Linked DNA regions of Cricetulus griseus. The protein of the gene in region 1 interacts with the protein of each later gene in a pairwise test. Links are inferred from orthologs where the notes say so. Each region holds a gene or a part of one and is shown in the gene's direction. Other genes may lie near its edges. The genes, in order: Ift20, Disc1, Washc3, Emilin1, Exoc7, Htt and Nup54.

Region 1 (3,275 bases):
CTTGTGCTGCCATGGAGCTCCGAATTTAGTCTCAAACAATACAGTGGACTAGGGGAGAGGGAGCTATTTTTAGATGAACAACCTTAAAATTGATGATGGAAGAATTATTAATTGGAGGTGGGAAATGGAATTATATATTCTGATTTTATTTCTTGGTAGAATAGTCTTGGTGGCAGGATCTGTGTTACTTGGATTTAGAGGTGGTAACTAAGGTCTCCAGGAGCAGCTCAGCACAGTGGTGACCTTTGGGCTACAAATCTCCAGGAGGCCTTCTTTCCTAGCTGCTAAGACAGCCCAGTGCCAGTGGAAAAGGCCAAATTAAGCTCAAGCATGCCAGGCGGTGGTGGTGCCCGCCTTTAATCCCAGCTCTAGGGAGGCAAAGGCAGGTGGATCTCTGTGAGTTTGAGACCAGCTTGGTCTACAAGAGATAGTTCCAGGACAGACTCCAAAGCCACTGAGAAACCCTGTCTCAACAACAACAAAAAACAAAACAAATTAAGTTGGAGCAAGGGAATTTTCTTTCCCTTTTTTTGAGGGTCTCACTATGTATGTTGTATGTTGGCTTCAAACTCATGATTCCAACTTAGCCTTCCTAGTGCTGGGGCTCCAGCTTGTGTCGCACACTCAGCTGAAGCAAGAGATTTCTGGGCCATGGTTTCATGACAGGTTGCTTGGTGTCTGTTTCCAGTTTAGTGGTTGGTGTATGCTGTGGCCTGCTTCTCTGGCCTTATTTTCATAAAATAAAACAGGGCTCCAACATATCAAGAGTACTGGAAAAAGTGAATGGGAAATGGGGCACCTAAATGATTGATTTGAGCTTTCTACCAGCTAGGTTGCAGGCAGGGATTTTCACACCACCTTTTATTGAAAGCCCTGGAGCTTATGCTCAGAGTCTAGCTCTGTAATGGTCCCTCTTTTCTAGGTGAGACCAGTGGTGGGAGGCTTAGGTTCATATGTACCAGGCTGCTGTAACACAGATTAGAAAGGGCAGTTAGTTCTGCCCTCCCTACTTCAAAGGAATGCTAATAAGAATGTTTTGTTCTTTTCCTTGAAGAAATTGGCCAGTTTCAGAAAATAGTTGGTGGTCTAATTGAGCTTGTTGATCAGCTTGCGAAAGAAGCAGAGAATGAGAAGATGAAGGTAAGATCAGCTGTTGGTCTTTGCCAGGAAACCAGGCCTTGTCTTTATTGTAGGGATGGTAGCCTCATTTATTTAACACGGGAATTTAATAACAGATGCTGGCCTAGTTAACATGGTGAGCTTATATGCCAGTGGTTTTTTTTTTTTTTTTTAAAGATTCATTTCATGTGAATGAATGCTTGTCTGCATGAATGTCTGTGCACATACTTGTGTGTGTCTAGAGGCCAGAAGGTTTCAGATCCTCTGGAACTAGAATTAGAAATATTTGGGTGTGACTTGCTGTTGAGGGCTGGTAATTGAACCTAGGTCCTCTGGAAACACAGCTAGTGCTTTTAATGACTCAGTCATCTCTCCAGTCCTTAGATATCTAGATTGATTTACGTGTATGACTGTTTTGCCTACGTGTGTGTGTGTGTGTGTGTGTGTGTGTGTGTGCGCGTGCGTGCGTGCGTGCGTGCGTGCGTGCGTGCGTGTGTGTGCGCGCGCGCGCCGGGTGTCCGTGCCCTTGGAGGTCAGAGAGGGTATTGGATTCCCTGGAACTGAAGTTATAGATACTGTTTAACCACCATGTGGGTGCCTGCAGAACTGAACTTGGCTCCTCTCCAAGAGCAACCAGTGCTCTTAACCACTGAGTCCTCTCTTCAGTCCACACTTGCCCTTCTTTTGATCTTCATGGTAGTACTAGTGGGTGTTTACCCTCCTTTTATAAACAAAGACATGAAAGATTGCCAGGTACAGATGACTTGGTAAAAGGCATAAGTGATGCCCCACCCCCACCCCCCACTCCCCAGTAGGCCACTACATACACTTGCAGGCCAGAGGACTTCCTTCTGTTATTTTTCACCAGGCACTTTGGGATCAGTGGGTTAATAGTCCTAACCATTAAAACCATGGGGCTCCTTTCTCTCTTCCCTTCCCTAGTGGCCTTTCCCTCTTTGAGTTTAAAACCATGCCTTCTTTGGCAATGCTGTTTCTTAGGCCATCGGTGCTCGGAACTTGCTCAAATCCATAGCAAAGCAGAGAGAAGCCCAACAGCAGCAACTGCAAGCGCTAATAGCAGAAAAGAAAATGCAGTTAGAAAGGTAAGCAGCCACATCAAGCCAGTGCTCAACTGCAGATTCTCATTTTCCTTCTGGATCACCTTGTCTTTCTAAATCATTCCCCAGGTAGAGCATCTCACTGGGTATCCTGAAGCTTTTTAAAAATTACATTTGATATGAAGAAAGTAGGGATTAATTGATTAATTCCAGATGACCTCCCATAGTTTGAGCACTGGTTCCTGTAACAAGGGCTGAGGCCACCTCCGTACCTTCCCTGGGAATGGAGGTTTCTCCTGGATGGCTCTGAGTAGGGCTTTGCTCATTTTATTCTTGCCCTGACTTCGTTCTCAGCTCACTATTTCTTACAACTGTTTAAAGCTCTATACTCTCAAAGAATTGTCCTGTTTTTATTTCATTCTTTTTAGGGCTTCTAACAATTTTGTTTTTCAGGTATCGAGTTGAATATGAAGCTTTGTGTAAAGTAGAAGCAGAACAAAATGAATTTATTGACCAATTTATTTTTCAGAAATGAACTGAAATTTTCATTATTTATAGCAGGAAGGCAAAAAAAAAAAAAAAAAAAAAAAAAAAAAAAGATTCCCAAACAAACAAAATAACCCTTTGTACTATTCCAGTGACTGACTGATGACCAAGTATGTAATGTCAGTGTAAGGAGGCAGTATTCCCATCTGGGGTACCTCTGGGGCAACTGGTAAACAGTGTCTGGCCACTGCTAGTGGCAGGGCAGAGCAGGGCCTCACCTCTTGCATTCTCAGCACAAACTAAACAGCCTGTAAAATTTGACCCATTTTTTTTTTCCCCTCAAAAAGCTCTCAATGAAAAGCAATAAATACCCTTTGCAAATGGTGTGTTCTTTCTTCTTTGGTGCTGTGTACATTACCAGCTCCTCTGAAAATTCAAGTGTTGTAACCCCCATCCACACAACAAACCAGGCAGAGATCAGCAGCTACCTTTATTTGGACCATACACACAAGTCAGACAGTAATAACCAGAGCAATATGGCTTGCAAGCAAAAACACCCACCAACCTTGTTTCTATAAGGAGAGCCAGTGGAACAGCAGACACCCTGGGACA
Region 2 (3,500 bases), on another chromosome or scaffold:
GGCTTTATTGCTATAGGTTCAAGCCTGGGCTATAAGATGAGTTCTGGGCTAGTTACTGAGTGAGATGTTGACTCTGAGAAACAAAACCAAAACCAAACCAAAACAAAACAAAACAAAAATGAGAGCAACAAAGAGTGTGGGTTTCACAGAGTGGTTAGTTTTGAGTTTCTGTTGAGCACACTGAGACTGTGGGCTAGCTCAGCCCTCTCTCTTCTCTGGGTGGGTGCAGGAGGTAGAAGCTGTGGAGAATCTGCACTGTGGGTGGAGAGAACATCCTGGAGATAGGGAGATATCAGGAATTAAGCTGTACTCTTATCAGCTAGGAACAGTGAGGGAACAGGGGGTGTGTCCGTTAGTAGAGCCTGGTGTTATATTCAGACTCCTACGCAGTGAGATGGCTATCTGCCCAGTGCTGAGCTCACACTGTGTTCAATTACCTGCTGCTTGTTTATTTCTTGGCCTGGAGACAGATGATGGTTATGGATTAACTTAGATTCCAGCTTAATAAATTAGGGCAAATTGTGTGTGTGTGTGTGTGTGTGTGTGTGTGTGTGTGTGTGTGTGTGTGTGTGTGTGTGTTTGAGTTTGAATGTGGGCACAGGTGCATGTATGTGCACATGTATGTGGAGGACAGAAGTTGATATTTGATATTTACTCCAATATCCCTTTACCTTATTATTATTATTTTTTTGACACAGGGTTTCTCACTGAATCTACACTTTACTGATTGGGCTAGACAGGCTGGCTAGCAAGTCCCTGGCATCCTCCTGTCTTCTACCTCCCCTTACCCTATGCTGGGTTTGCAGATTCATTCTGTGGGTCCCCAGCTTTTGCATGGGTTCTGGGTATCAGAACTAGCTCTTCATGCTTGCATGGCAAGCACTTGACTGATGGAGTTCTCTCACCAATCCTGGGAAGTAAATTGGTCCAACAGTCTGAAGGACACTAGACTCTGGCTCGACAAATCTTGTTCTCCCAATCCTATTGACCCGACAAGCCAAGGTTCTTGTGTTTTTGTACATCCTAAGTTCTTGTGTTTGGGAGCAGGCTGCCCTTTCCCCTCCTGGCCCACAGCTGGTGTCTCAGTGTTTGGTGTGAGTGGCTAGTGCCTTTGCTTCCCCATCAGAAGCGAAGCCAGTGATACATCATTTGCTGGGTTCTCTCAAGTCAAAACCTTGGCTAGCGCTTGTCCGTATTTAATGCTTGGGAAGGAGAGGATGTTTTTCTTCCTGCCAACTCATCAGAAACATAAAACTGGCATGATTTTCCCAGTTCAGCAGACTTCTGGAATTGGCCTGCCTCGGAAGAGTGGGGTGGGCTCCGAGATTGTGGTGCATATGGCCTGCTCTCATTTAACCGATTCATTAGTAGCAGAGCAGGGTTAATGGATGAAATCTGTTCCCCCATTCTCTGCAGAAGGAAATCGAAGCTCTCCAATCAAGGATGTCTGCGCTGGAGGCAAAAGAACAACAGCTGAGCCAAGAGTTGGAGGATCAGGAGACACTGCTCCAGTGGCAGGGCTGTGATCTGATGCCACTGGTGGCCCAGCTGTCCCCAGGACAGCTGCAGGAAGTCAGCAAGGCCTTGGGAGAGACATTGACCTCTGCCAGCCAGGCTCCTTTCTGTGTGGAGCCACCTGAAACCCTTAGGAGGTATTGGTGATTTTCTAACTGATTTTCCAGCGTTCCCTCTTTCACCTGTTTATTGAGATGGCTTTGCTGCCCATTCATTGTTCACAGGTGCTTCTCAGGTGGTTTGTTTGCTTAGTGGAAGTGCTGGTGGTGTTGAGATGTAAGATTCTTCACTGCGGGGTCAGTTCTGAGCACTGGGAGTTATTTGGCATCCAGTCCACCCAATCCCTAGCTGCCAGCACTGTCCCCTCTCCAATAGGCAGTTTCCAAAATTCCAAGGGGCTGGCTTGTCTCTCCTTTCCCCTTCCCTCCCAAATTTGGGGTCAGTTGGATAGAGATTTTGACATTGGCTTTTGCTGAAGACAATTATCTGGAAAGAGATTTCACTTCTAAGAGGTAGGGTGTGACATCAGAAGGGTGTGACTTGGGGCATAGGGCATGGCATTGGAAGAATGTGACCTGGGGGATGGGATGTGACATTGAAAGAGTGTGACTTGGGGGAAAGGGCATGGCATTGGAAGAGTGTGACTTGGGGGAAAGGGCATGGCATTGGAAGAGTGTGACTTGGGGGGTAGGGCATGGCGTTGGAAGAGTGTGACTTGGGGGGTAGGCTGTGGCATCGGAAGAGTCTGAGCTGGCTGGGGAGATTTTCAGTTACAAAAGTATTTACTGCATGAGCGCAAGGACCTGATCTTGGATCCCCAGAACCCACATAGAAATCTGGGTGCAGTGTAACCCCATTTCTGAGAATGCAGACTCAGGATCCCTAAGGCTTGCTGGCTAGCCAGTTTAGCTGAATTAATGAGCTCCAGGTTCAGTGACCCTATATTACAAAGATGAGACAGAATGTGATTGAGGAAGATATATGACCCTCCCTCTGCACGCGCACACACACACACACACACACACACACACACACACACACACACACCCAAAAAACCAAAACAAAAAACCCAACCAACCAGCCAACCAACCAACCAAATTAAAAACTCCCAAACCAAACCAAACCAAACAAAAACTCCAAACAAATGAACAAATAAACCAAGAGGGCAACATAAGCAGTATTTTTTTATCAGGTCACTGGGATGAATGAGCTTGTGTTGCTGCTGTTGCTGGCTAAGCAATGTCAAATGCCTGGTCCTGGGCAGAGCTACTTTGTGGGTCACATCAATTATGCTGTCTGTTTTACAGACAGTGAAAAGTAGTTTAAGAAGGTTAATAATTTAAAAAATTGATAATCTGCCCAAAGTGTTAATAGGAGAGAAAAACAGATAGACTGCTATTCCTGCTTTCTCAAATGTGGTGTCTCATCTATCACGAAGGGGTCTTTCCTATGTTTTACACTGCAGAGAGCTTGTGAAATACACATATACACATCTGCTAGGTTGTATTTAATTTTTTTAAAGACAGGGTCTCACTATGTACCTCAGGCTGGCTTCTAGTTCTCTGTATATCTCAGGCTAGCCTTGAACTAGGGATCCTCCTGTTTCTGCCCTCTAAGTTGTTGCTCTTAAGGGGTTTCAATCTCATTTTGGAGACACATGGAAGACACACTTACACATGTGGGAAAGGAGTGCTTGTGGATGGGCAGGGATGTGCAGTCAGGGCTTAGGACTCTGCTGGGCCACTGTGCTCCCTACCTGTGGGGATCCTCATTCTGTGATTTCTGGCTGACTGTTTGGGGAGACTCTTTAGTTTCAGCTAGCCTCACTGTGGCTGTCTGTCCTCCTGTTTCCACCTCTTGAGTTCTGGGACTCATCACCACACCTGGCTAGATCAACATGGCAGCTGTTGTCACTCACAAACTCGACACCATCAATGGAAGCCAGCTTCAGACTCCAGGTGCTTTCTGGCATCAGTCAAGTGCAA
Region 3 (3,926 bases), on another chromosome or scaffold:
TTTTTTGTTTTTGTTTTTGTTTTTGTTTTTGTTTTATTAGTTCTAGTTAGGGAAGAAGCTTATTTCAAGTCCCTTCTCCCTCTCCCTCCCCCACCCCCAAACCTCCTCCCCCAGCCCACCCCCCACCCCCATCCACCCACCACTCCCCAGGCAGGGTAGGGCCCTCAACGGGGGCTCTGCAAAGTCCACCAAGTCTTCCTATGGAGCAGGCCTTTTAAGAAGCATTCCCAACCAGCGGCCCATGAATCCCATTTAGAAAAACATGGCTCTTATTCTGGTATAAAAGGTCCTTCATCAGCTCTTTGTGTCTATTTCCGTCTTATTTCTCATTATTCCCTATCTCTGCTAATACCACCAAACAGCTTTCCCTTTGCCCTCCATACTATACTCCTCATTCCAGATTGTCGTGTTTTGTTGCTGTTGGTGTTTTGTTTGTTTTTTGAGATAAGGGTTTCTCTGTAGCTTTGGAGCCTGTCCTGGAACTTGCGCTGTAGACCAGGCTGGCTTCGAACTCACAGAGCCTCCCGAGTGCTGGAACTAAAGGCGTGCACCACCAGTGCCTGGCTCCAGATTGTCATTTGGGGGTGGGGATGGGGGTGAATTTCAAAACAGGGTTTCTCTGTAGCTTTGGAGGCTGTCTTGGAGCTCAGTCAGTAGACCAGGCTGGCCTCAAACTCACAGAGCTCCACCTGCTTCTGCCTCCAGAGTGTTGGTATTAAAGGCATGCGCCACCACAGCCCGGTCAGATTGTCATCTTAGCTCTTCTTAAAGTTAAGTAGCTACTAAAGCTGGTTTCCTCTTCTTTGCTTGGACAACTTAGAAGCGCCTATCGTCTACAGCACCACAGTGCTTTGAGTCCATGTGGGTGCATGTACCCATGGAGACACAAGGGTTTGTATATGTTAATTTACAGTGCCACAACTTTCACCTAAATTTTGCACATCAAGATTCTGCATGTCTTCACTATTCTTTGGAGGCAGAGGTCCCCCCCACCCCTAAAATAGCATCAGCTCTTCAGCAGTGATTCTCAGGCCCGCTTTACAATCAGCTCCTTGAACTACCAATCCCAGAATGCTGAGCGAGAGTGAAGGGGCGGACTCTCTGAAGCCACTGATTGATTGGTGGGCTCGGGATCTTTCTTCCGGAAAGGCCCCGGAGGCAGGAACTTGGGAAGGGGAGTCGGGGTTTTCTACCGGGCTGTGAGGGGCTTGTGCCTGAGCCCCGGTGTCCCCATCTGCTGTGGAGATGGATGAGGATGGGCTTCCTCTTATGGGGTCAGGCATAGACCTGACCAAGGTTTGTAAAAGATGACTTAAGCTTCCGGCGAACAGGGAAGTAGCTTGGCCAAGGGGCCCCGGTTCCCCGGGAGACACCACCTCTCCAGGCCCAACCCGGGCCCCTTTTTGCTAGCCTAGGGAAGGGGGAGCCCCGCAGTCCACTTTCGAAGGGTTCCCTCCTGAGCTAATTAAAGAGTTGATGTGCCTCGCAGCCTTCGCTCCCCACATCATGTGACTCTGAGCCAAGGCTGACAGTCTGGAAATAGTGCCACTTCTAACACTACCTCTCTGATCCTCAATCTCTCTCTCTCTCTCTCTCTCTCTCTCTCTCTCTCTCTCTCTCTCTCTCTGCCCTCCTCCCTCCTCCCTCCCTCTCTCCCTCCTCTCTCTCTCTCTCTCTCTCTCTCTCTCTCTCTCTCTCTCTCTCTCTCTCTCTCCCTCCCTCCGTCTCCCCCTCCTCCTCTCCCTCTCTGTCTCTCTCCTCTCTCCCTCTCTCCTCTCTCCTCCTCCCTTGCTCCCTCCCTTGTGTGTGTGTGTGTGTGTGTGTGTGTGTGTGTGTGTGTGTGTGTGTGTGTGTAGCACACTCTCAAACTTTTGCAGCCCCTGTCACTTTGACACACACACGGTTCAGGAAAACAAGTCAGGGACTGTTCTCAGCCCTCCATGAAATTCATGTCACAGGGCAAAATCATAGTCTTTACGAAACAGATATCGAGAGGATTGCACAGTGTATGTCTCTCCTGTAAGAATCATATTTGCTTGTTTTTATGTAACACAGGTGCCAGCTATTCAACAGAAAAGGACCGTGGCCTTTCTAAACCAGTTTGTGGTGCACACGGTGCAGTTTCTCAACCGGTTTTCCACAGTTTGTGAGGAGGTAGGTCCAGGTCCTGTGCTACTACTAGTTTATGGAGTAGTTGAGAAGTCATCTTCCACCTTTCAGGTTAACAGAGCGAAGCAAAAATTACAGCTTTCATTTATTCACATTGCCAAGACCTTCTCCAATTGTGTTAAGACACCTTGGCGTCTCTTCTATTCTGTTACCATCAGTCCTGTATCCCTCAACTGAATTCATATTCTAGGCGTTTCTGTGAGCTCAATAAAGTTTTTTATAATTATGAGAAACACACACAAATAATTTCACAGTTGAATTTTTTATTTTAAAGTTTTTCATTTTCCTACTCCAGAGTTTTATATTTTAAGTATATGTTTGTGTTTATATTAAATTACTTTGCATTCTTTGAGCCAAAGTGGTTCAGGGAGGAAGCCTAGAAATACATTTTTTTAAAAAAAAAATACCCTTCTGCAAATGTCTGGATAACCTGTGCAGTAAAAATTAAACACATAATTAAGAATTAGGTGCCAGGTTCAGGACCCCCGCCTGATCTTTGAGAAAGGTTTTTATTTGGTTTGGTTTGGGTTTTTTTTTTTTTTTTTTTTTTTTTTTTTTTTTGGATGAGGAGGAAAATGGAGAATATATATTGAAACTGAATTTAAGAAAGGAAATAGAAGAGATTTCTAGATTAGTCCCAGCTGAATCAATGCAATGTTATCTTATATTGTCTTATACAAGGCAAACCCTTAACAAAGTTAGATATGTAACTGTTAATCAGGATTGCTTGCAGATAGGAGACTTGTCATTTGTGTAAAATTCGAGCTGTTTATAAAGTTGTGGATTCTGAGTAAGGTCTTGAATGGGGTAGGCATGCACTCTGCCTCTGAGTAACATTGATAGTCCCAACTGTTGTTTTTATTTCTTCATCACAATGTCTTTAGCGTTTCCTCCAAATGTAATCACTAATGATATAGTGAGGAGTCTCTCTCTCTCTCTCTCTCTCTCTCTCTCTCTCTCTCTCTCTCTCTCATTTGTTTTGGTCTTTTCAGAAATTTAAGATTTACTTTTATTTTATGTGTGTGAGGGTCTCACATGTTTGTCTGTCCACTACATGCATGTCTGATGCCTACATGGGTCAGAAGAGGGCATGAGATCCCCTAGAACTGTTGCTATGGACAGTTATGAGCCACCATGTGGATGCTGGCCGTCAATTCTGGTTCCTTTGCAAGTATGAGTGTTCTCAGCTGCCAAGCCATGTTTTCAATCTGGTCTCTCTTATACCGTTGCTTCTCTAAATAGAAGCACTGGTAGAACAACTAACCACTAAACTGAACTGGAATCCAGACGCAGAGAAGGACAAGTGAAGAGCAAAGGGGTCCAGACCAGGATGGTGAAACTCACAGAAACAGCTGACCTGAACATCAGGGAACTCTTGGTCCCCAGACTGATAGCTAGGATACCAGCATGGGACTGCTCCAGACCCCAGGAACATGGGTTTCAGTGAAGAAACCTCGGAAATCTACGGGACCTGCTGTAGTAGTTCAGTACTTATCGCTAGCATAGGTGTGGACTTTGGGAGCCCATTCCACATAGAGGAATACTCCCTGAGCCAAGACACACAGGGGTGGGTTTAGGCCCTATCCCAAAGGGTATGATAGACTCTGACGACACCCTATGGAAGGCATCACCATCCAGGGGGAGCAAAAAAGATATGTGATAGGTAGAGTTTTAGTTGGGGGGGGTAGAAGGGGAGAATGAGAGGGAGAAGGGAACTGGGATTGCCATGTAAAACAATCTTGTTTCTAATTCAAATA
Region 4 (4,237 bases), about 78 Mb from region 1:
GGATTACCACAAGTTCCAGTGTTTAAAAAAAAAAAAAAAAAGAGTGAACATATACTAAGTTCTGGGCACTATTCTGAAATGTTTTAATTGTATTAATCCTCACAAGCCTAAGATGGATGAGGTTATATTATCCCTGTGTTTGAGGAAGAAACTGAGGCGGATCATGTTCCCTGAGCCTGAATTCTCTGCCTGTCCCTTGTCTTGTCCTTCACTCCTCCCTCCTTTCCTCCACACACTGTTCAAGCTCTGCCTTTTCCAGCAGCTTTTCCTCCTACCCCCAGCAGCCAGCTGTCTCTCCCCTCCTCTTAGCCAGAACACACATCATCACTTTGTCCTGGCCTCTTGGCAATTGGTCTGTCCTGCCTCTGTGGCTGTCTGTCTGGGGGCCCTGTTCCTTTCTCCAAAACCCAAGTTGTTCCTTAATGGACAGTGACAGACTTTTAGGCTTGCCTTTGCAACCCCGGCACCTCTCCAGTGCCTGGCACACAGCAGCCTCTTGTTGCTGTTGTCTGTCTGGTACTGCAGCTTCCCCCTTCTCGTCCCCTGGGAGTGGCAGGTCCAGAAAAGAGGCAGCAGTCAGCTCACCAAGAGCTTTCTGTAGGTAACAGAGAGGTTGACTGACCTCCAAACCAGAGAGCAACCAAGTCTTACCTCTACCATCACTGTAATCATCCCTCCTGGTTATAGGGTTATAGCCTGACCTTTACCAATGGCAGTCATTGTACAAGAAAAGACGGCTCTTTGTTTTCTGATTCATTCCTCTTCTCTTCTCTTCTCTCTCTCTCTCCTCTCTCCTCTCTCTCTCTCTCTCTCTCTCTCTCTCTCTCTCTCTCTCTCTCTTTCTCTCAGGTTTCCCATGTCTCCATGGAGTTCTTTCCCCTCACACCCCCCACCTCCTTTTTTTTTTTTCCTGAGTCACTAGAGTCGCCTAAAGTCTAATCTCAGCCGTGTTATTGACTTGCTGTGTCACCTTGGACAATGAACTGCTTTCTCATTGTGAGCCTCTAAAAAGAGGCAGAAGGACCCAAGGGTGATGAGGTCCTGCTGAGCCCCCCACGTGTGCTACTCCCTGCCTTCCTCCTGTCCTCAGGGTACCTCTCTCTTCTTCTCTCAAGGGTCCTGTTCTCACTGACCCAGGGGAGCTGGGACTCTGGCGCTGGTTCTGGTCCTAGACACCAGCTCTGGGCCTCCTATCCAGATTTGGCCCCAGCTCCATGTGGCCTGTCTGAGAGGTTGGCCTCAAGCCCGGCGGCAACTCCACATTTCTCTGTTTTTCCTTTTTTTTTTTTTTTTTTTTTTTTTTGCCCCCCTCTTTCCCGGAGTTAACAAGAAGCAGATGTGGCGCACGATGGTTGGAGAGGTGGGGGAGGAAGAGGGAGGCTGGACCGCCAGCCAGACAGGGGGAAGGGAGGAGAGAGAGGGGAGGGGAGGGAGGAGGCTGGCCCGCCCATGGTCACTTTTGTGCCTCTTAACAGCCACAGGGGCAAAGCTCTGTCATCCTTAGGATCAGTCACCAGGGAACAGAACAGGGAGACGAGAAGAGGGCCAGCTGGAGCCAGGGGGTGGAGGCTCAGGAAACTGCCTCTGAGAGGGGCAGGGACCAGGCACAGGAGGCCAGGGGCCCAGAGAACAGACTCCCCTCAGAAGTGCAGAAGAGGAGAGCGGAAGGAACTGAGGGAGGGACAGACAGGAGCCTGAGGAGGAAAGAGGAGGGGGATAGAAGGGTCAGGCCTAGCAGCCAAGGAGGAGGCGTGTGGCTTGGGGGCTGCAGGCAGGAAGCTAGGACTGAACTGGCTTAGCGGGCTGTCCCCTGAAGCAGCGGCATCCCGTGGAGGCGCGGGTCTAGGCACCAGTGGTCAAGTCGGGATGTGTCTCTAAGGGCGGCAAGGAACACCTCACCATGGCCCCCAGTACCCTCTGGAGCTGCTATCTCTGCTATCTGCTGACCGTAGCCACGAAAGCTGCCAGCTACCCTCCTCGAGGTTACAGCCTCTACACAGGGGGCAGTTCGGCCCTCAGCCCCGGGGGACCCCAGACCCAGAACTCTCCACGGCCTGCCAGCCGCCACAGGTAAGAAAGACTCTGTGTTCCCAGCCAGGGCTGGAGACTGTGATCAGGAAAGTCCTCAGAAGTTGGCAACCGGCTATACCTCTAATGCAATGAGGAGGAGCATGAAGACTCCCACTCATCAATGGCCCTCACATATGGCCTTTCTCTGGGGCTTTGGTGGCCTAAGGGGGATCAGCTTACACCCCTCTTCCCTATGAAGACTTGCAGTTGGGTGCCCAGGGAAACTGCACTGAGGGGCATGGACCAGACCTTCTTGCCAGCTGTGTGCCAGCCAGCTCTGGATCAGGCAGTCCTTTTGTCCTTCTCTAGGGCTTCCTCAGTCCCATCTGCTAATGTATAACTCCTCCTGCGCTGCTCCCTCTGGCTCCACAGCAGCCCACAGATGAGAAGCCAGTGTGAATGGGGCCAAGAATACAGCACCGCAAACCCCAGGGGCACAGACTCTGTCGGTGGCTTATTCTCTACTTAACCATAGGCCTGACATCTGCCTGCCCCTGCTCTCCTCCTTGAGGGGTGGGTGGAAGCACCATGTGCAGAGGATTATTTCCAGTATCCCAGTTGTTTGGGGGCTTGAGACAAGCCCAAGGAAGGGCAAGAGGGCCCGTGATTTCCCTGGGTGCCTAGGACCCCACAGTCATGAGGACTGACTTCTCTGTGTGTTTTTGTCATCACACCCTCCCTGTCTTGAAAAGCTTTTATCTATGGTGACACAAGAAGTGGATTGGGGGCTACCCTCTCAAACCCCTCACTTTCACTGTCCTCAAGGCCCCTTCATCTTTTGACCTTCCTTCAGCCTCTGGGCCCACCAGGGCTTGTGTCTTTGGTCCTTTGGCCCAGGTAGGGTTGTGCCTACAGGAACTGGTGTGCCTACGTGGTGACTCGGACAGTGAGCTGCGTCCTTGAGGATGGAGTGGAGACCTTTGTCAAGCCAGACTATCAACCCTGTGGCTGGGGCCAGTCCCAGTGTCCCCGAAGTATCATGTGAGCCCCCCAACACTAAGGGATTGGGTCCTCAGTGTGAGCTGGGCAAGGACAGACAACTGGTAGCTACTCAGGGTCTCTTTACAAATCAGGGGCAGGGGGCAGGACAAACCAATCAGACTGTTTTGAGAAGGTATTAGGGTCCTGGCTCAGCTGGCGAGCTGCTACAAATGTACCTCCCTTGTCTGCAACCTTCAGGCCTTCTGTTGGACAGGTTGTCCTCATAGCAATGAACTCTGATTCTAGCACAGGGAAAGGGGAGGAAGAGCCCAGATTTAACTAAAAAGCTGATAGCTGTCAAGTGAGCAAGGCCACACACATACTGGCTAGAGAGTGAGAACAACCTGAAGAACAAGGTGACTGACAGAACCAGAACCGAGAAAATACAAAGCTTTCCTTTCCTCTGGCCAGGTACCGGAGCTTCCTTCGCCCTCGCTACAGAGTGGCCTACAAGACAGTAACAGACATGGAGTGGCGGTGCTGTCAGGGGTATGGGGGCGATGACTGTGGAGAGGGTCCTGCTTCTGCTCAGGGCCCTGCACCCTCCACACCACACCCCCGGCCCAGGCCTGTGCGCCCCAATCTGTCTGGCTCCAGTGCAGGCAGCCACCTCAGTGGATTAGGGGGAGAAGGTGAGTCCACAAGTTACTAGGGTTGTAACTTGTTACAAGTTACTGGGGTGGTAAATGTGGGGCCTGACTGTGGAGGGAAACCTCTGTGCTCTAAATTAGGAGGCAGACAGAAAGGAAGTAATGACGAGTCTGAGATTCTGAATGTGTTTATGCTTTCATGGTCTGAATGTGTGTGGTGGGGGGGATAGTGGGGGACAGGAGTGAGGGTAGATTGATTGAAAGACCTGAAAACCTAGAGCCGAGTAAGAAGACATAGAGAGGATTTACTCACATACGCCCTCTCGCGGCCAAGGTCCTTCCTAGTAGGAAAGGCTGTGGGAGAAGTGGGGAATTCCTTTGAGAAACTCTGTCTGTCCTCATTGAAGATGGTTAAGACTACAAATCCTAGCATGCATTGCACCTGACTACAGGTCCCACACCCCATTCTGGCCCCTGGAGACTGCAGACCTCCCTAATGCAATAGTCCCTGTTGCATTTTCTTTCCTCTTGTGTGTATGTGCTAGGCTAGGCACACCGGATGCCCGCTCTTTTCCTGCCAAAGAGATAACTGAACT
Region 5 (3,500 bases), about 37 Mb from region 1:
ACATCTCCCAGATTGAGGACCACAATGACTGCCTCCATAAAATGACACTGCCACCTGCCCAGTCCAGACTGTCCTCTTCCAAACACAATCCAGAATCCTCATGCTTGGGGTCAGATAACTACCCAGGGAGTTGGTTTAGGAATTTTCCTTCCTTCTAGCTTTTTCCCACCACCTCTAGTGTTTGATCTGGGGCCATAAACACGGCCTATGCCGAGTGGAAAGTGATACCAGGAGAACGTTTGGACGTGGCGCCTGCTCTCCCAGGCCTGCCAGAGCAGCTCTTGGGGCATCCTGTCACAATAGCCTGCTCTTTCCATTCACTGCTGGTCTGGGCTCAGCCCAGGAGCTGGAGAAACTCAGACCCCAGCAGAGTGAGTGGCATCTCCCAGACCGGCCACTCAGGGGCACTGCTGTCCCCCTAGGGAGAGATGACATGCTGGATGTGGAAACGGATGCCTACATTCACTGTGTCAGCGCCTTTGTCAAGCTGGCCCAGAGTGAATACCACCTGCTGACTCTCATCATCCCGGAGCTCCACCAGAAGAGAACCTTTGACTCCTTGATTCAGGTCTCACCCTGCCCACCCTGCAGCTCCGAGCACTGACCCATTCTGCAGTGACTTACTGCAGAATCTGGAGGGCGTGGTAGGCCTGTTGCCCTAAGCCCTGGATTCTTTGGTGTAGTCCATGACCCCTCCCCCACCCTTCACAGCTTGTTAGCTCCCCTGCACACCCACAGGGTGCCCCGCTGTTCCTAGGGACCAGCTGTGCTCTGCCCCTGCCTGAGCAGGGTCCTTGTCCTTCCCCCAGGATGCCCTGGACGGACTGATGCTTGAGGGGGAGAACATTGTGTCTGCTGCCAGGAAAGCCATCATCCGCCACGACTTCTCCACAGTGCTCACGGTCTTCCCCATCCTGCGGCACCTCAAGCAGACCAAGCCTGAGTTTGATCAGGTGCTCCAGGTGTGTGGGCCTTTCTTCTCCCCCCCCCCCCCGCCCCCGCTCCCCTGTACTCGGTTCTGGGGAGCTCTGTTCCAGGCCCTCCTCCCACCTGTCCTCTGAGGTGACTCCTGGGAGGCTGTGGACAGCTTAAGATGCTCACAGGGAAAGAGAAGAGCGTAGTTAATCCTGAGCTGGAGAATGCAGCCTCTGGAGTGAGGGTGAAGGACCTAGAAGAAGTTAGACTCACAGCTTGCTGGAGGGAGTAGTGAGCCTGACTCTGAATAAATATGTCAGTTGCCATGTCCTTCCTCAGGGCACAGCAGCCAGCACCAAGAACAAGCTGCCCGGCCTCATCACCTCCATGGAGACCGTTGGAGCCAAAGCACTAGAAGACTTTGCCGACAACATTAAGGTACCTGCAACCCCTTTCTCTTTCACCAGGCCTGGCTTGCTCATTGAGCTCCTGGGACTCCTCAGAGAGCAGGCCTTCAAGAGAGTCAGGTTTGCTCTGTAGAAAAGCCGCACACACCTCCCTCCCACCCCCCACCCCACCCCCCACTGCTGGTTTGCAGGGGAGACCCTCTGGGCACCTCTGTTTCTTTTGTGGGCCCCAAGCCCTGAGACTGAGGGACAGCCTAACACCCATGACCAGGAGGTGGCGCCATAGGCAGGCTAACTGGGACTCAGGCTGGGGGAACTCCCTATCCAGGAACCAGCGGCTGTTCTTTTTCTTCCCACAGAATGACCCAGACAAAGAGTACAACATGCCTAAGGACGGCACAGTTCACGAGCTCACAAGCAACGTAGGTGCCGCCCAAACACTGCAGAGGTGGGACAGAGAGCACCCAGCTCAGGCCCTGGGGGCAACACCACTAGTGGGAACCCAGCCTGCCCAGAGCTCCTGGGCTTCATTTGTGGTAAAGGGTTAGTTTCAGTAGTGCAGGCAGCCAGAGCCCAAGGTAACACCTGAAATCTCCAGTTGCTCTTGTCGCTATAAAGACCGCTGCCGCAGACTTGCCCTGCTGGTTGGAAAGGCTCTGTGTGGGAAGCCATTTCCTTGGGCGACCCCCAACCCTCTTGGATGTGTTCTCTCTCCCAGGCCATCCTTTTCCTACAGCAGCTTCTGGACTTCCAGGAGACAGCGGGTGCCATGCTGGCCTCCCAAGGTACATGACCCCTGTGCTGGGGGCTGCTTTGGGGGTATAGAGTTAGGCCCCTAGTAGGCACTTACTTGCTGTAGGTGCGGGCAGGGTGTGATGAGGGGTTTCCCCAAGCCCATGGAATAGGACTAAGACATGGCCTGTGGGGAAGTCTAAGCCCATGGATTTCTGGAGAATCAGCATAAGGAGTTGTGGGTTTGTTGGCATTCTTAGGAACCCCACCCGTTGCTTGCTCCTTTGGCTGTCAGTGCTCTGGGGTGGGCACTGCAGGGCTCAGGTCTCATCCTGTCCCTCCACACTGCCACTCTTCTCCACTCCCTCCTGTTGTCTGCCTATTCTGTTGCTCCACCTCCTCGCTGCCCCCTGGTGGGACTGGAGCTGGGATGCTGGCATGTAAAGAGAGCTTGGGTCATTCCAAGAACTGAGGTCCTGGGGCCCTCCATTTGTTTTTATTTGGTGGGCAAGAAGCCAAGGAGCTCCCAGTTCTCTTGGGCTGCACTTTCCAGTGTGTTTCTGGTCTTGAGTTAGTTTGGTTTGGTGTGTGCTGCTGTCTGTGTCTGGCTGCCATGGGGGAAAGGTCTGCTTGGCTTGGGGTGACACAGCCATTTCTAACCTGTTTTTTGCACTTTGCATCTTTCTTCCTCCTCTGTTTCCCTCCTCCCCCTCTGTGTGCACTGCCTGTCACTCCGTAGTTCTCGGGGACACATACAATATTCCTTTAGACCCCCGAGGTAAGCAGTGTGGTCCCCCAGCCCCATCCTCCCCTCCAAAGCCCTGTGGTTGAGGTTCCCAGGGTACTAGTTCTCAGGACCCACTGGGGGCAGGGTATGAGTTTTTTAAGGGGCCCTCATCGCCCCCCCCCCATTCCCTTCAGCTCCCTTCTGTCTCTAAGCCTATCCAGGCACCACCTAACCAGAACCCAAGAACACCCCCTGGCTAGCCTAACCCCCTCCCTTTGGCCTTCTGTTCTATATCAGAGCTCTCTGCTGGGGGTGGGGGGTTCAGAGTTGTGAGGAGAAACTGGGAAGACTAGGTGACCCTATCTAGAAATCCTTGCTGTTGACAAATAAGTAAAAGGGATCTAATAGATACCACCCATCTTACAGTAGGGACCAGGCTGGGAAGGTTGGGAAGGCATCGGTAGCCCACACCTCTCCTTCCTGCCTGCCTGCTGTTAAGGGCTGGCTCCTTAACCCATTACTATAGAAGACAGCCCCGGGATCCAGAAAGAGTCCACAGTGCTTCCAGTAGCTCAGCAGGTGCCCGTCTTTGCTTGAGCTCTTGCTTCAGTCCTGCCTGCCCCACCAAGCCCAGGGCCTGTCCCAACACTTCCTCCTCTGTCCCTGGGATATGGGAAGGGCCATCAAGGGTCTTGGCCATTGCCACCATAGTAACAGCA
Region 6 (4,142 bases), on another chromosome or scaffold:
ACATGGAATTCTAAAGACTTTCTCTGCTGTCCTCAGTTTAACAGGGGTTGGCTGCTTATACCTCCCATGGGTAGTGTTGGCTCCTGTGTACTTGGCCATTTTGAGAAGATGGAGGAGTTTCTCATGGCCATGGAATAGGGCTCTTGAGTCTTAGGGGTAGCCTGAAGAGCTTAAATGGGTTCCTAACTAAATGCATCACCTCCAGTCAGATCTCTCTGAAGCCAACACCTTTTGCTGGACAGGCTGAAGGAGCTGGGTGTATCCATACTATTCTAAGCTTCCTGTTTAATTGCTCACCAGTGGGAGATGGAGATTCTGGAGACAAGGACCTCAGCTCTGGTGGCGATGAGGCCCCTTGTAGGTTCTGGCTGATGACCAGAGCAGTGCCATGGTCCAGCACTGTGAAGTTGAAGTGTCCGATCAGAGTTGCACTAACCCCAGCCTCTCTTTGGGCTGCAGGCACTGCTACTTGTTTGGAACCCTTTATCAGCTTCCTCCACAGCACATCGTCTGGTGCCGCCTTTTTTTTTTTTTTTTTTTTTTTTTTTTTTTTTATAGGCTTTCATGTCTGAGCTAACCAGTGCTTCAGGGGTCCACGGATCACAAGGGTTCTTTGGTCCTGCATAAAGGTCACTCTGGTTCCCTTCTCATTTCAGGGAGCCCTTAGCATACTGCATTCGGGACTGTATAGCAGGCCATCTGTCAGCTTGCGGACAATGAGTGCCTCTCTGGGTTTCGGGTTCTGAGCACCACCACCGCCATGGGTGGCTTTCTGCAGGGAAATTTCTTTGCTGCCCTTCCCCTTTCCAACCTCTTAGTCTTCCATGTCTCCCCAAACCCTACTGAGTTGCCAACTCCTCCGCCCGCCTCTTTTTTCTGTCCTGTAACTCCTAATCTAGTGCTCGGCCACTCCCCTCAAACCCACTCTTGGTTCAGCTCCGCCCCTCATCTAGCAACCCGCCCCGCCTACCTCATCACGCTCTCTCCCCGCTCCCTCCAATCAGAGGCTTGGTTTGCCGGAGAGGGGCGGGGTCATATCGTAGGGGCGGAGATTCTTAGCAAGTTGGCAGAGGCCCGGCATGCTTACAACCAGGCATTGGGAAAAATGACGCTTCGGCCTGTCAAATCTGCGGATCCGGCGTGGCCTCTCTTCCGTCGGCATGACGTCACAGGACGCAGGCGCCGCGGGGGTTGCCGGGACGGGCCCAAGATGGCTGGGCGCTTTGGTTCCGCTTCTGCCCGCCGCGCAGATCCCCATTCATTTCCCCGCTGCTAAGTGGCGCCGCTGAGGGCGACTAGGCTCCAAGCCTTCGGGGTCTGTCCCGCCGGGCAGGAGGCCGTCATGGCAACCCTGGAAAAGCTGATGAAGGCTTTCGAGTCGCTCAAGTCGTTTCAGCAGCAGCAGCAGCAACAGCAGCAGCAGCAGCAGCAGCAGCAACAGCAACAGCAGCAGCAGCAGCAGCCGCCACCACCACCACCGCCGCCGCCTCAGCCCCCTCAGCCGCCGCCTCAGGGTCAGGCGCCACCGCTTGCACCGCCCCCACCGCCGCTGCCCGGTCCGGCCGAGGAGCCGCTGCACCGACCGTGAGTCCGGGCGCCGCAGCTCCTGCCCTGGGCCGCTCCCCTGGCCTGCGTGCTGGAGACAGCCAGCGCGATTCCCTGCCCAGAGAGAGGGTCGCCAGTCCTCTTCCTGGCCCGGGTCCTCGCCTTGTGGGGGTCTTTAGCTTTCCTCACTGGAGGCAGAGCCTGGTCAGGCCTGCGGCGGACTCGCCGAGGGGCGTCTCGCCCCCAGTGCTTTCGCCCTTCTTAGCTTGTGAAGTTAGGGAGCGAACTTGTTTCTGTCTTCGGGAGAAACTGGGGCTGTGGCTCACATGACTCCAAGAGAACTTGGAGAGGGCGAGACCTGTCTCCCGGGTCGCCTCCTTAGGTAGGCCTAGATGCTGGGAGCGCAGGACAGCGCGAGTGATGTGCGGATAGTGGATGACATAATGCTTTTAGGAGGCCTCAGCGGGAGTGCTGAGGGTGGGGGAATGTGAACCATCCAAATTGGATATTCTTTTTCCAAGTGACACTTGAAGCAGCCTGTGACTTCAGGCGCTTTATATTCTCCTGGTGTTTCGTTTAGTTCATGTTACAGTGTAGTAACAAGGTTTTAAGCATCACTGGAGAGGTATGTTTCTGTATGCTCCTATTGGCCTGCAGGTAATTGGATGAACTGTGGTTGTCAAGTACATGATGAGTTACTTAGGTGTGATTATTAATAAAAATTATATGTCTCTGTGTCATATATATATATATGTGTGTGTGTGTGTGTGTGTGTGTGTGTGTGTGTGTATGTATGTATGTCGATTGATATTTATTGCCTATATTTTCTGCTGGAAATAAAATGGACATGTTGGTGATGCGCAGTTTACATCAGGGAATGATTTTTATCAGTGTTACAGTCAGACTTGTTTTTAGAACATGGGCCACTCTGTGTGCCAGTGAAAAAAATTCCTATTTAATTCTTTGCTGACATCTTGTCATCCTTCAGAAGCTTGCTGCATGTGACTGGTGAGAATATTTGAAACAGAAGAGAGACCATGAATAACAATAGTCTTAAAAAAGAAAATGATGATCAAGACATTTCCTGGAAGTCCACGATGAGTGTTCAGCCCTGTACTTTCTTGCAGTTCAGGCCTTTCAACTGGACATTTTATTTCTAATGTGGATTTCTATAATTAATAAGGAGAACTTTCAGGAAACAACCTACTGAAGAATCCCATTATTAATCCTCATTTAGGAAAAAAATTGTTTTGTTGCTGGGAATTTAGCTTAAGGCCTCACACATGCTGGGCAAGTGCTTTACCACTGAGCTATATTCCCAGCCTATTTTTAGTAATTTTTCTTGTTCTTGTGCTTCTGATAGGATCCTTTTTGCTGCCCTGGGAATCTAGTTTTTTGTTGTTGTTTTTTTTTAAATGAAGATTTGGGGAAAAATGTTGGCTTATTTGATAGAATAAAATATAGGAATAAATTTTTCTTCTATAAGGTCAAAGAGGGTTTGAGTAGAAAAATCTTTCCCTTTAGATAAGTAATATATTTTGAGACAGTCTCACTGTGTAACTCTGGCTGACCTGGAACTCACAGATATCTATCCTCCTGCCCCTGTCTCTTCAGTGCTGGGATTAAAGGCATGTGCCACCATGCCTGGCTGTATAAGTATTTTCTAATTATTAGATTCTTAACACGACTCTGTCTCTCTGGGTGTTAGGAATTGTGCAAGTTCACATATTCCTCATATCTTCTGTAAGGGAGGGTTGGGGCGGGGTGGGGTAGGGTGATTTCTCTCCAGCTGCTTCAAGCACAAATTCAATCTGTTTTTGCATAAGTAATTCATTAACATGGTCCAGTTCCAAAGTTAGGAAAGGTTAAATAGTAAAACATCTCCCTCCCCATTCTCCTGAGTGCCTAACTCTGTCCGCAGTAGCAAGCACTGTTACTCATTATGTGTCCTTTCAGATAAAATCTGGGCATATGTTAGGACAGATTTTTAAATTATTTATAGACAAAAGTAGTTTGGAACGAAAGCTTTTAAAAGTTTTAAAACCTTGTTAGTTCACTGTATAGCAAGAACTAACTGGAATATTTCCCATAATCAGCTGCATTAGGCTTGTATTTATTTTAACTAAAAGCATATATCTCCTGTTTCTGTATACTTTGCTGTTGGAAAAACAGGTGTTCATTAATGATAAGTAACAAACATACTGATTGGAAGCTTCAATTTTGGCATTTTTGTCCACTTGCTTCAGTTAAAAGCCCCCCCCTTCTTTTCCTCCAAATTGAGACCAGCCAAAACAATTTTAGAATAAATCTGTTCTATTTTTATGGCTCTCATTGTGTTACAGAGAACTAGTGTCACAGCCGTGCGTGGGCTTCTGTTGAAATAGCTGAGAGCTCCTTTCTCTGATCAGTGTATAGGATGCAGGAGCTCTTTGGGACTGGCTGTGGGGGGTCTGATGGGCCTTAAGCAGTTGACATTCACTTTTAACCTTTTTCACTCTTCAGATTCCTACCTCATTTTTCCTGATTGTAGTCATTCATTTACCAATATTTGCTGATCATCTCCTGTTTGCCTAGCATTATTCTAGCTGCGGATTTTA
Region 7 (4,033 bases), on another chromosome or scaffold:
TCAATCCTCCTGCCCATGTCTCCTGAATGCTGAGATCATAGGTATAACTCAGTCCCTGTGATATATATAGGCTTTCCCAGACAGGGTTTCTCTGTATTGCTTTGGAGCCTGTCCCGGAACTTGCTCTGTAGACCAGGATGACCTGGAACTCAACAGAGATCCGCCTGCCTCTGCCTCCCGACTGCTGGGATTAAAGGTATGCACCATTAACGCCAGGCGCAATATATATATTTGGTTTTTCGAGACAGGGTTTTTCTGTGTAGCTTTGGAGCCTATCCTGGTACTCTCTCTGGAGACCAGGCTGGCCTCGAACTCACAGAGATCCGCCTGTCTCTGCCTCCCGAGTGCTGGGATTAAAGGCGTGCGCCCCCAACGCCCGGCTTCGCAATAAATATTTTTAAAAGGAAAAGAAAAAAGAAAAAGAGCCAAGCATTGGTGGCACACACCAGGGCCGGAGAGATGGCTCAGAGGTTAGGAGCACTGTTCTTCCAGAGATCCTGAGTTTAATTCCCAGCAACCACATGATGGCTCACAACCATCTGCTGGCACGCAGGCCGAAGACTGTATACATAATAAATAAATAAATAAATAAATAAATAAATAAATAAGAATTGAGTCAAGAAAAATCTTGTTCCAAACTAGATTCCAGGATAAACCAGCGAAATGACTTTGGGAACGCTCCCATCTCACCTGTGCAAAGTAGTCAATTAGAATCTTCTCTGTGGGGTTGAGGATTAAGTGTTCCCGAGAAATGTGATGCAGGGCACAGACGTTAGCATTTAAAGGGCTCATTTGCTTCATCCGGGTCAGCCCTCCGTTTTGTTCAGCGACGACAGTGGTAAACTATGCAGAGACGAGTACTGGAGAGCGTGCCACACAGCACACACACGTGTCACTGCTAGCCCCATTATCTCTCCATCACTCCTAAACGCCCCTTTCCCAGCTGCTTCATCTCCTCCATCCTCATGTCCTACCGGAAGGCCCCCTGCTGGGTGGTCCGGGCGGCACGGTTACACCCTGAAGCACGCAATCTCCGCAGCCGCTCACCTCGCTAAGGTGGCTTCTAAGAGCCAGCTGGCAACCCTCCACACCTACTTCCCCCTGATCTCCCCTTTGTTGTGACGCCCCAAACCACTTGAAGCCACAACACACCCCCGGAAGTGAGCAGAACGGGGGGGGGGGCGTTCCCGTCCGGCCAGAGAGGAGGCGGAACTAATGATACAGCCCGCGTTTCCCGACCGGGCGGGAGAGCCGTGAGCACTGAGCGTCCGGGTGCGCCGCGGGAGCCCGGGAGCTCGGGACAACCTAAGCGCTGCTCCCGCGACATGGCTTTCAATTTTGGGGCTCCTTCGGGCACTTCTGGCACCTCTGCAGCTACCGCCGCACCCGCGGGTGAGTCAGCCCCTGGACCACCTTCTTCCGAGGAACGGAAGCCTTGGGCCCGCCCCCTCGGTCCGATACCGTCCGGCTGGGGGTCCGTGGTGGCCCTGGCACGCGAGACACCGTGAGGACATTTGGAAAGGGCGGGCGGCGAAGGTGGGAGGGCCGCGGGCTGCTCAGGCTGGGCCTGGGGCTCGCAGGGCGCGCGCATCCCGCGTGGCCGGGCCGCCGTGTCGCTTCCCGCCACCGGGGACTCCGCCCGGGAGGCTACGCCCCTCTTCCCTTCCTGGGGCCCCGCGACCCCTCGGCCGCCTCGGCCGCCTCGGCCTCCCGGCCCAGAGGGCCAAGGCTGGAGCCAGGCTACCCGCAGCGCCCTCCGTTCCCTCCCCAGCCTGGGGGATGCTGACCCCGGCCCCTGGTGCCCTTGCTCCTCTGTGTGTCCCCGCCTCCTTGGCTCTCTTAACCGGTTCCGGCGCCGCTCAGGTTTATTCACGCTGTGAAACCTCTTGCTGATTCTTGTTAATTCTTATCTTGCTTTCTTTTCCTTTTCTCTTCCCCTCCTCTCACGTTTTCAAATTTTCTCTGCCTCCACGTCTATCAGGATTTGGTGGGCTTGAGACTGCCAACTCCACCGCCAGTGGGTTTAATTTTGGGGGTTTCGGATTAACTGCTAACCCTGCAGTGAACTTTAATATTGGGAATTTCGGTGTTTCTACCACCTCGGCGACTCCATTCAATTTTGGTAACAGTCTGACGAGTGCAGGTAGATACTGCGGGTCATGTGTGTAACGAGGGTTGGGGGCTGGAGTCCAAGAATGTTCCGATGTTCCTAGAGTTTGAGGGAAAAAAATGGCACTTGTCTGCTAAGGGAAGGGTTCGTTTCCTGAGGTCAAATTGAGTGTATGTCAAGTTTTGACTTGTCTTAAAAGATGTGGTTTTTTTTGGACAGCCTTGAGAATTAAAATGCTCCTTTGTTGGGTTTGCATTTAATCATACGGAGTACAGCTTCAAAATGATAAGAATTTGCAATGGAGTTTATTTTGGATAGAATGTTTTTCAAATTATTAGCTGCGGTATAAGCTCAGCGTTTCCCTGGGATTCTTGGACTCCTGCAGTCGTTTTTCATTTTTTATACATATTCCATCGGGATTTCATCTTATTGTCCTTGTGTTTCCAAGAGAAACAAGTCTTATACGAACAGCGGTGACCTGTCTTGTTTTTCAATCTGTATAATGACGTTTTTCTTCCATCAACACGTTAGTATGTATTCCTGTAAGAGATGGAATCATAGAAAGAATCTCCAATTCTTTGCTGCCATTTTTTGGGAAAGTCTCTATGAGCAGTGTAATTTACGAGATGACATTGAGTTCTAAAACTCAAGCTAGACATCTCTGCATTTGAAAAGAATTACGAAGATTTTTTTTTAATCTACGGGTTTGAAGAATACTAAAAGATTTCAGAACACAAATATGATGGGTGTGTATGTCCCAATTTAAAGTAGGCTTATGAAAGCTCAGCATAAATGACCCTTGAAAAAATCGTGACCCTCAGCTGCTCGTATATGAATTTACTGTCCATAGTCTATGTTATGCCACTTCTGCCCATGCCAATTATTTGCATTTGGTAAACATCTCTTCCTGAACTTACTTGGAGAGCCAGATATTGTGTCAATTCAATGAGTTGAAAATAATGTGAAATACACTTGAAAATTTCAAAGATAAAGTGACTCATTAAGATACATTAGAAGTGTTTGCATATCACTGCCCTTGCTGTGTTTGCTTTTCCTATTTTGCTTAAAATTGGCACTGGGCAAACCTTATTTTGAAATTTATGTTTCAGAATAAAGCAAACCACATAGTTCAACAGCAACAAATAAACCTGTTTGTATTTGCTTGATTTCATGTCCGTTTGAAGTTGTCACTGTTAAAGTTTTGAGTTGTATGAATATAATTGTTTTGATTGCTTTCAAATATGTTAATTTAGCCTCAGCAAAGAGCTTTAAAACAACATTTTTTGTATCCATACTGGTCTACTATTACTAATAAAGCATTTTTGGTATTTTAAAATGTGGTAAGTTACTAACTAGTGTTTTTGTTGTGTGGTCAATAACAGTTACTCTTTGAATGCAGGGAGTTAAAAGGGAACTAAAGACAGTACTTATTTTAGGTGTTTCATCAAAATGTTTAACTGGCAGCATTGCAGTAGACTCCACTGAGTTACGTGTGTGCAATAGCCTATGCACTAATTTTCTAAATCTGAATTGTATTGTTAAGGGTCAGAGAGTGTAGCCTAATGATAGAGTATTTGCCTGCCTACTATATGCAAGGTCCTGGATTTAATACCCAGAACCACAAAATTGATTAAAACTAGTTAAATTTTTTTGAAACAGCTTTTTACTGTGTAGCCTAGGCTCATTTAGAAGTTCTAATCTTGCTTTAGCTCCTTTAATGGGATTGCAGGCACATACCATCACACCTGTTCTATGTTGCAATCTTTATGAGGCTATCCATTTACAAGAAATATATGAGGTTCAAGTTAGAATCTCAGAAAACCTGGAGTATAACTCAGCATTTATGGTTCAAATGTTTGTTTTCAAAGTCTTTTGCAGCATATTTATGAATAGGTAACTACTGCCATACTCTTTTTAAAAATT

What was found.
Region 2: the proteins of Ift20 (region 1) and Disc1 interact in binary tests that used the Homo sapiens proteins (3 or more experiments, as listed by UniProt). The link is inferred for Cricetulus griseus from reciprocal best matches to the Homo sapiens genes IFT20 and DISC1.
Region 3: the proteins of Ift20 (region 1) and Washc3 interact in binary tests that used the Homo sapiens proteins (3 or more experiments, as listed by UniProt). The two-hybrid records come from large-scale screens. The link is inferred for Cricetulus griseus from reciprocal best matches to the Homo sapiens genes IFT20 and WASHC3.
Region 4: the proteins of Ift20 (region 1) and Emilin1 interact in binary tests that used the Homo sapiens proteins (3 or more experiments, as listed by UniProt). The two-hybrid records come from large-scale screens. The link is inferred for Cricetulus griseus from reciprocal best matches to the Homo sapiens genes IFT20 and EMILIN1.
Region 5: the proteins of Ift20 (region 1) and Exoc7 interact in binary tests that used the Homo sapiens proteins (3 or more experiments, as listed by UniProt). The two-hybrid records come from large-scale screens. The link is inferred for Cricetulus griseus from reciprocal best matches to the Homo sapiens genes IFT20 and EXOC7.
Region 6: the proteins of Ift20 (region 1) and Htt interact in binary tests that used the Homo sapiens proteins (3 or more experiments, as listed by UniProt). The link is inferred for Cricetulus griseus from reciprocal best matches to the Homo sapiens genes IFT20 and HTT.
Region 7: the proteins of Ift20 (region 1) and Nup54 interact in binary tests that used the Homo sapiens proteins (3 or more experiments, as listed by UniProt). The two-hybrid records come from large-scale screens. The link is inferred for Cricetulus griseus from reciprocal best matches to the Homo sapiens genes IFT20 and NUP54.

What each region holds. Positions count from the first base shown.
Region 1 is NC_048600.1:91,930,950-91,934,224, forward strand, and holds the end of Ift20 (intraflagellar transport protein 20 homolog), read left to right. Parts: intron 1-1,054; coding exon 1,055-1,140; intron 1,141-2,118; coding exon 2,119-2,222; intron 2,223-2,630; coding exon 2,631-2,712; 3' UTR 2,713-2,775; downstream 2,776-3,275. UniProt on the Homo sapiens protein: Part of intraflagellar transport (IFT) particles involved in ciliary process assembly. May play a role in the trafficking of ciliary membrane proteins from the Golgi complex to the cilium.
Region 2 is NC_048596.1:201,882,762-201,886,261, forward strand, and holds part of Disc1 (disrupted in schizophrenia 1 protein), read left to right. Parts: intron 1-1,416; coding exon 1,417-1,652; intron 1,653-3,500. UniProt on the Homo sapiens protein: Involved in the regulation of multiple aspects of embryonic and adult neurogenesis. Required for neural progenitor proliferation in the ventrical/subventrical zone during embryonic brain development and in the adult dentate gyrus of the hippocampus.
Region 3 is NW_023276806.1:154,207,198-154,211,123, forward strand, and holds the start of Washc3 (WASH complex subunit 3), read left to right. Parts: upstream 1-1,126; 5' UTR 1,127-1,245; coding exon 1,246-1,296; intron 1,297-2,055; coding exon 2,056-2,154; intron 2,155-3,926. UniProt on the Homo sapiens protein: Acts as a component of the WASH core complex that functions as a nucleation-promoting factor (NPF) at the surface of endosomes, where it recruits and activates the Arp2/3 complex to induce actin polymerization, playing a key role in the fission of tubules that serve as transport intermediates during endosome sorting.
Region 4 is NC_048600.1:13,459,272-13,463,508, reverse strand, and holds the start of Emilin1 (EMILIN-1), read left to right. Parts: upstream 1-1,437; 5' UTR 1,438-1,900; coding exon 1,901-2,070; intron 2,071-2,907; exon of another isoform or gene 2,908-2,925; coding exon 2,926-3,051; intron 3,052-3,462; coding exon 3,463-3,683; intron 3,684-4,237. UniProt on the Homo sapiens protein: Involved in elastic and collagen fibers formation. It is required for EFEMP2 deposition into the extracellular matrix, and collagen network assembly and cross-linking via protein-lysine 6-oxidase/LOX activity.
Region 5 is NC_048600.1:128,883,115-128,886,614, reverse strand, and holds part of Exoc7 (exocyst complex component 7), read left to right. Parts: intron 1-422; coding exon 423-568; intron 569-809; coding exon 810-962; intron 963-1,254; coding exon 1,255-1,353; intron 1,354-1,681; coding exon 1,682-1,744; intron 1,745-2,040; coding exon 2,041-2,107; intron 2,108-3,500. UniProt on the Homo sapiens protein: Component of the exocyst complex involved in the docking of exocytic vesicles with fusion sites on the plasma membrane.
Region 6 is NW_023276807.1:103,746,839-103,750,980, forward strand, and holds the start of Htt (huntingtin), read left to right. Parts: upstream 1-1,342; coding exon 1,343-1,584; intron 1,585-4,142.
Region 7 is NW_023276807.1:157,236,986-157,241,018, reverse strand, and holds the start of Nup54 (nucleoporin p54), read left to right. Parts: upstream 1-1,233; 5' UTR 1,234-1,325; coding exon 1,326-1,392; intron 1,393-1,981; coding exon 1,982-2,143; intron 2,144-4,033. UniProt on the Homo sapiens protein: Component of the nuclear pore complex, a complex required for the trafficking across the nuclear membrane.